Sus scrofa: one gene and its partner. The protein of the gene in region 1 binds, or shares a complex with, the protein of each later gene. Links are inferred from orthologs where the notes say so. Each region holds a gene or a part of one and is shown in the gene's direction. Other genes may lie near its edges. The genes, in order: NTRK1 and NGF.

Region 1 (3,807 bases):
TTTGTTTCTGATCTTTCTGGGGCTGAGCCTGAGTTTCTTAGAACTATGCGTAAAACAGATTGTGTAGGTGGTGAGGTCCTAGCTGGTTTTCTGATTCGCTGTGTCCATTTGGAACTTGGGATCTCTGATATCTACCGAGTTGTTCAGATGGGTGGTTTTACGGTTTGGGATGTGTTGTGCCGATTTTGAGATTATTGGTTGTGCTCTAGATTTTTCAGATCATTAAATAAATGATCCAGGAGAGCCTGCAAACCAGCTCTCGCGGAGGAAGTCCATTCTCTGCTCTATTCTCTCCCACACCTCTTTCCTCCCCCTCCCTTTCATCCCTCCTCTCTTTTCCATCTGCAACCAGAGGGGCTCCCCAAAGACGTCAGCCCCAGCCCCTGCACCCCGCCTCTAGCCCCAAGGCAGCTGATGTTCTTCTGGATTTTCTCCTTTCTTCTCTGACCCAGCAATCTGGGAGTCTGCCGTCCTTGGGACTGACCCTGGCCCATGTCACCAGTGACCTCAATAGGAAGAACGTGACGTGCTGGGCCGAGAATCATGTGGGCCGGGCTGAAATCTCCGTCCAGGTCAACGTCTCCTGTGAGTCCCCAAGGCTGCCCTGGCACGCACCCCCATCCCATCTTCCCCAAAGATGTCAGCCCCAGCCAGGGGGCTGGAGGAAAGGGGTGGGATGTGTGTGTGTCCACAGCTGCTCCCTCCCAGCTGTTTCCAGATTCCCATGAAAACCTGATCCTTTGAGGGAAGTCCTGTGGGCTCGTCAAGGCCAGAGGGATGGAGATGGATTTCTTTTTGGCCCACTGCCCAAGTCTTGCTACCTGAGGCCCTCGACACCAGCTGCTTGCCCGTTCTCACTGCTCCACTGTATTTCTTCATATCCATCCCTCTGTCGAACTTTTGCCCTATATCCTAGGTTTTTTTTTTTTTTTCCTTTTAGGGCCACACCCGCGGCATATGGAGGTTCCCAGGCTAGGGGTCGAATCAGAGCCACAGCTGCTGGCCTACGCTACAGCCACAGCAACACCAGATCCGAGCCACATTTGCAACCTACACCACAGCTCATAGCAACGCCAGATCCTTAACCCACTGAGCGAGGCCAGAGATCGAACCTGTGTCCTCATGGATACTAGTTGGGTTCTTAACCCACTGATCCAAGAGAGGAAATCCTAAACAATAGCTATTCTTACCAGCACTTCAGAAGACACTCCCTTTCTCTCCCCGCTCAGAAGCCCATTCTTCTCCTGCACCACATCCTGACTTTTTGATTTTTTTTTTTTTTGGTCTTTTTAGGGCTGCACCCATGGCATATGGAGGTTCCCAGGCTAGGGGTCTAATCAGAGCCAGAGCTGCTGGCCCACACCACAACCATGGCAATGCCAGATCAGTGTCACATCTGCCACCTACCCCGAAGCTCATAGCACCTTTAACCCACTGAGTGAAGCCAGGGATCAAACCCACATCCTCATGGATGCTAGTTGGGTTCTCAACCCTCTGAGCCACAACGGGAACTCCCATCCTGAATTTTGTGATAATCGTTTCCTTGCTCTTAAAAATAATTTTACACACATATGCTTCTCCATCAACATGGTTGAATTTTGCCTGTTCCTGTACATCATATAAATGGAATGACACCTCATGTATTACTTTGTGTCTAGTTTTTTCTGCTCAACGTTTGTAAGATTTATCCATATTAATGGGGGTAACAATTAGTTCCTTCCATTCACTGCTGAATAGTATTCCATTGCATGAATGCTGGCTAGAATTCCAGTACCAATTATATACGTTTATAGATGTATATATATATATATATATATACATATATCTTTTCTGTTATTGAAGAGCTTTTGCCTCTTTTGGGTCTATTTCAAACCCTTATCTTTTTTCAAGAAGTTCTTTAATTGTTTCTTGTTTTTCTTGTTTCATATTTAGGCCCCCTCCCAATCTTTTTTTTCAGCCACGCCTGCAGCATGTGGAAGTTCCTGGACCAAGGACTGAACCCTCACCACCGTTGCAGCCATAGCTGCTACAGTGACAACACCAGGTCCTCCACCCGCTGTGCCACAGGGGAACTCCCCAATCCTTTTAATGTTAATTACACTTTATTTTTCTCCATCCCTCATCCAAAAATCTCCAATTTCCAATAAGCTGGTACCCCACTGCTTTAGGACTCTTACTTACTTACATTCAACTGACCACCGAAGTTCTTTAAGCTTCTGAATTTTATGCACCTGCTGCCTGATTTATTTAAGATTTACTGTCACCTTTCTTCAAAATGTCTCTCCTTGTGAATTTCTTAGGGCCTGCAGACCAGTTTCTCTTAGGCCCACCCCCCTGATTTCAGGCTGTCCACCCCCCTCCCCCACCCCAACCTGAGACTTGTCAGGTCAGCACTGGGTTCCCTGCAGCTGCCTCCTGACTCTCACTGTCCCCCTCTCTGGCCCACAGTCCCTCCCATCGTGAGCCTGCACACAGCAGTGGAGCAGCACCACTGGTGCATTCCCTTCTCGGTGGACGGGCAGCCCGCACCCTCCCTGCGCTGGTTCTTCAATGGCTCCGTGCTCAATGAGACCAGCTTCATCTTCACTGAGTTCATGGAGCCGGCAGCCAATGAGACTATGCGGCACGGCTGCCTGCGCCTCAACCAGCCCACCCACGTCAACAACGGCAACTACACGCTGCTGGCTACCAACCCCTTGGGCCAGAATGCCTCCTCCATCATGGCCGCCTTCATGGACAACCCTTTTGAGTTCAACCCTGAGGACCCCATCCCTGGTGCGACCCTGAACCCTGTCCTCACCCTCAGGCTCTACTTGGGTACAGATCCAGGTGACCAGGGATGCCCGACCCACTTCCTGCTGTGATCCTGCCCTCAGAAGTTGGAGTGCCTGGTCCTGGACAGAAAGGAGCCTGGAGATCTGGTGTCCAGCTCTGCGCTGGCCTCCTTGCTCCTACCCCAGGAGTCCTGAACCCCTGAGCAATTCTATTCTCTCGGGCTGGCTGAAGAGAAAGCCAGACACCAGGGCATCCCCCGCCCGGCTGGAAAAGGGCCACATGCATCTTCTCCTTTGAGGTCGGCAGCTCTGCCTCCTGGCCCCGCCCCTACCCCAAGAAGGGATGAGTCCCAGAGGGGGAAGGGTCTCACTGCTCTCTAACCTCATCTGATTGCTTTCTTTCCTCCCTCCTGCTGCAGTCTCCTTCTCGCCAGTCGGTGAGTAGCCCAGGCTGGAGGGCAGGTTCTCTCTGGTCCCTGGGGCAGAGGGTCCACTTATCCTGATCCCTGAGGGGTCAGCCGGGGCCAGGGTGGGGAGCTGGTGGAGGAGACAGAGAGTGTGCCAAAGCCCACACTTCCTGCCCTGTGTCCCCACAGACACCAACAGCACATCTGGAAACCCAGTGGAGAAGGATGAAACACCTTTTGGGGTGAGCTTGGAAAGCGGAAGCTAGTCTGGGACTCGGGATCAGGAGGCTGGGCTAGAGGCGCACCTGCATATAATTTCTGGTCAGAGCATGGAGATCACAAGAGTCTGATCTGAGCTTCGGTGGCCTCCTTCACATCGTGGCCTGGGGCCTCCGGGGGGAGAGGAGGAGGAGGAAGAGGCAGGCCTGGGGGCTCGGTTCTGGGCGTCTATGCAGGATGGAGAAATGTTTTGCCGGGGGAGCGCTGAAAGCCCAGGAGAACCCCCAGATCTAACCACACCACATCCCCAGGTCTCGATGGCCGTGGGCCTGGCCGTTTTTGCCTGCCTCTTCCTTTCTACCATGTTCCTTGTGCTCAACAAATGTGGACGGAGGAACAAGTTTGGG
Region 2 (3,907 bases), about 12 Mb from region 1:
CTTACACTCACCTCCAAAGTGTTCCTCCACCAGTTTGCATCTGAACAACTCAAGGGAAAGAGGCTTTGCTGGGAAATAACGAGGTCGTATCAAAGCTCAAACGCTCTTCTGAGTCTGGGGTTTTTCTCCTACCTCATCCCTCTCAGAGCATACATATGTGGGTGAATAAAGTATGGGAGCAAAGGTAAAACCAGAAAGAAGCGGAAACCTCAGGTTAGTCTGTGTCAAGTGCCTAAGCGGGGCCTCACGTGGCTCAAGTGCCCTCCACTGGGGGACAAGGGCCACCCTTGGACTTAAAGCAGGAACTCCTGTGCCTCACTAAATCCCAGTGCCTGAGAGTGACCTTCACCTTAATTGTGCTGTCAGAGCTTCACCCACAAAGGGAGTCTCTGCCTGCCTCCCCCCACCACCTATCTCTCTAACTCTCTTCTCCAAGCCTTCCTCCCGTGTGGCATCAGGCACAGAGGAGGGGTTCTGTATGCAATTTGCTCAAGGAAGAAGTGAAGACACCTACATACAAGCTCAATACCAGGGGACGGGGGTGTGAATTTTCAAAGCTCCATGAATCCCCCAGAACATTATTACAATTAATGATGCACATTTGGTGGAAATCTGACTTTAGGGATATTTCTGGGCTATGGGTCAGACAAACTCCCTGGTCAAGCTCTGAATCCATGGAACCCAAGAAATCTTGGTGGGCCAGCTACGAGATCCTGCCTAACTGAAAGTACGGATGGCGGAGAAAAAGAATTTGGGTAGGGCTTGGGGTGGGGCAGAAGGCTCTCTGCCTGGGTCAGTTTAGAGTCACAGAACTTTTGCAAAACTGATGAAAGTTGGGAACCCTCCACCCAGAAAAACCACACATCACACAGTAGACAAATCTGCTTACAATTTCAGAAGGATCAGGCACCCCGGAAAGGAAGCTTCTATAATCAGGGCCTGAAGGTAAGGCTCTGATTCTAGGTCCTAATGCCTAAGTGCCCTGCCCCAGGGCCTTCTAGCTGGTTCTGCTGTAGGAGCCACAGCTCTCCCTGTGTCAGAGGAGTCAGGAACCTGCATCTCCTGGAGCTCCCCTGGGTACTCTTTTCTCCCAGGGTGACAGGAGGCGTCCTGGGAAAAAAGGTCTCTGGGCTTTTCTCTCTTGGCTCCCAGGAGCTGGAGCAGCCCAAGCCCAGGGCACGAAGGATGGCACCAGGCAGACCCCAGAGGAGCTGGAAGCAAGGCGCGGGCTGCCGGCTTCGCAGGAGGGAAGGGAGGGGAGGTGCGGGGAGCTCCCGGCGACTCCGCCCACCCCCAGCCAGTTGGCCCTTTGGCGTCCGAGGCCAGCACCCCCGCCTGGTGCCCCAGAAAAATCCCCAGCCAGTAGGGCTTTGCAAGCGGCCCCTCCAATGCCGATGCATTTCCTTTTGACCTCTGGAGGTTTGACCCCCAACCCTGGCTGGGTCAAGCCCGCCCTCCCGGGAAAGATCGCTCTCTGGTCCCCAGGACCCCTACTGGCGGGCACCTCCGCCTGGCTGGAGCAGGTGCGGGGCTGGGGCTGCGGAGGGTTGGAGTGGGGGAAAGGATTTGGAGTGGGTGACTCAGGAGTCCGGGAGGAGGGGCTAAGAATTCAAGAAGCCTGTGTTAGAGCAGCTCGGCGCTCCGGCACAGCAGAGAGCGCTGGGAGCCAGAGGGGAGCGCAGCGGTGAGTCAGGCTGCCCTGAGCCCAGCCCGAGAGGGGCGCAGCTCGGGCACCGGCGCGGTCCGGCGTGGCTGGGCTCCCGGGGAGAGTATGCGTGGATCCCAGTGTGGCCAGATCTCTGGGTGCCCCGGAGGCTCCCATGGGCTGAACTGCGGCCGTGAGAGGAGCGTCCCAAGTGGGTGCGGGAGCCTCGGCGGGTGGGCGAGTCGTGGGGAGCAGGGCTCTCTCAGGTCGTGGAGTTCCCAACCTCCCGATGGCCCGAAGTGCGGGAGGCCACTCTGGCGCTTGAAATCGCTGTACGGCGGTGCCAAGGACTAGCTCGAGGGCTAGAAGGGGGACGGCACTCAAGTGAGAGAGAGCGAACGAGTGTGGCGAGAGGGATGCGCGGGCTGCGAGCGCGCCGGGGCCGCAGGAGTGGTGATCTGCACGGCGGAGTGCGAGTGCAGGGCGCGCGCGGGCTGGGGTGTGTGCCTAGTCCCTCGAGTGCTACGCTGCCCCCAGGGAAGGGGATGAGCGGGCAGGGGGCCCTGGACCTGGTGCAGGGCATGAAGCAAGGGTCTCCGGGTTCCTTCGCCGGTCGCTGGAGAACTGGGAATCCCCAGAGAGGGCCCCAGGGGTTGTTAGAGGAAGCCTGCTCGCCAAGGGACTCCATGCAAGGTCCTGCTACGTGGGTTACACGCCTCACCTCCAGCTGTCTGCTGCCAGGTGCGGGAGAAGCTAGTATGGAGGGGTGGGGCGGCAGTGCCTTGGGTCCAGACGGCAAAGACCTAGGGGAGGGAGAGACAGGACTCCGGGTCGCGAGCGGCATCTTTGAGCCATCGTAAACAAGCGGCTTCACTCTGATTACAACTCTCCTTTTTCTTTCCAAACAACAACAACTGAGATTCTCATGGAAGGTGTTTTCTGCTTGAACTTTTCTCTTCTCTTGTGATTTGAGAGATTAAAAAAGAGCTTGCTTGCTAGGCTGGTTTTTCCAAGTTGTTCCAGGTTGGAAGTTGTAACAGTTTGTCGGATAATTTATGGGTGTTTCATGCATTAAAGGGTATTACAGTAAAGCCTTTGGGTGCTATGGGTATTAAGAAAAACTTAGTGCACGTTCCCAGCGGGAAACCAAAATAGGACTCTCCTGGGTATCTCTGCCCCCTCCGTCATCTGAGGCCAATGGAAATCCTGGAGAAAAGGCACTTGATTAATTGTCCTGGCTCCATCCTCTGGGCACACCCACTGCCAGCGCCAGACACCTCCTCCCCCACTCACATGTATGGTCAGCTGCTTTCTCAAATTCAGAATGGCAGTGGCGGGCCCACCAGTATCTTCTATTCCGGGTCTTCAAACTTGAAGTTGTCAGTTAAGTCTGCGGCCGGAGGGGACTACTTCTTCCTCTCAGCGCAGAGGAGGGCAGCAGCCATTGGACCCTGCCAGCCCTTCCTGTGCAGTGTCTACAGTTTGAACGTCTGAAACTTTCCCCTTCTGAAGAGCCAATGAAGAAAGGCTACATTGGATCTGCATGGGTCTCTTCTGCAGAAGTCATACGTCAGCCTGGCCGGCCCAAATGTCAGTCCATTATGGGATCTGTTCCCAGAGGTTCAGCAGCAACTGAGGACTAGGGGTGGGGAGTGTGAATGGTCTGGGGGCTGGGACTGGCCCTGCTGGCCTTGAATGTGGCTCATACTTGGGTCATTGAAGGGGGTTGGGATTACCATCACATGCTGCCAACCCCCCCCACCATGATTTTCCCAACATTTTTAGGCAGGTGGGAAAAAGGGCAGTCTTGATGGGGAAAATGTTAGGAGGCACCACAAATCTCTGAGGCATGGGGACTCATGTTTTGATAGAGCTATAGGAGTACCTCAGAGGATTTTATAGCCAGCTGCTTGTGCCATGCCTGCCCCGGCAGCCATCCTACCCCAAAGCAACCCAGGCCCAGACCCACTAGAGAAATGGCAAGCTGGGTCCACTCAGGCAGCTATCCTCATACTGGTGACTCTTTCGATATCCTTAACCTTTGTCAAGGAGTGAGGTTCTCAGCTTCTCCTGTTGCCCACCACATGTCTCCCCCACCCAGGGGGCTGGAGGGAGCAGGGGATGAGGCTTCACACTCTCCTCCTCCATGGAGAAATTTGTGTGATGGCCAGGAAGGGGCCCCCAGCTGCCGACATCAGCAGGGAGGGTAGGGCATGGCAGGGCAGGGCTGGAGCCTGAGGGAAGTTTCTCATCATTACTGAG

What was found.
Region 2: the proteins of NTRK1 (region 1) and NGF are in contact, whole or in part, in a crystal structure (PDB 1WWW), measured with the Homo sapiens proteins. The link is inferred for Sus scrofa from reciprocal best matches to the Homo sapiens genes NTRK1 and NGF. Residues at the interface, in NP_002520.2 of Homo sapiens: His291, Val294, Glu295, Met296, His297, Cys300, Pro302, Phe303, Ser304, Leu333, Glu334, His343, Gly344, Cys345, Arg347, Thr352, His353, Met379, Asp380, Pro382; in NP_001424474.1 of Homo sapiens: His125, Pro126, Ile127, Phe128, Arg130, Gly131, Glu132, Phe133, Ser134, Ser138, Ser140, Trp142, Tyr173, Phe175, Arg180.

What each region holds. Positions count from the first base shown.
Region 1 is NC_010446.5:93,224,373-93,228,179, reverse strand, and holds part of NTRK1 (high affinity nerve growth factor receptor), read left to right. Parts: intron 1-452; coding exon 453-585; intron 586-2,448; coding exon 2,449-2,775; intron 2,776-3,193; coding exon 3,194-3,211; intron 3,212-3,370; coding exon 3,371-3,423; intron 3,424-3,711; coding exon 3,712-3,807. UniProt on the Homo sapiens protein: Receptor tyrosine kinase involved in the development and the maturation of the central and peripheral nervous systems through regulation of proliferation, differentiation and survival of sympathetic and nervous neurons.
Region 2 is NC_010446.5:105,255,106-105,259,012, forward strand, and holds the start of NGF (beta-nerve growth factor), read left to right. Parts: upstream 1-1,585; 5' UTR 1,586-1,684; intron 1,685-1,702; exon of another isoform or gene 1,703-1,856; intron 1,857-3,907. UniProt on the Homo sapiens protein: Nerve growth factor is important for the development and maintenance of the sympathetic and sensory nervous systems.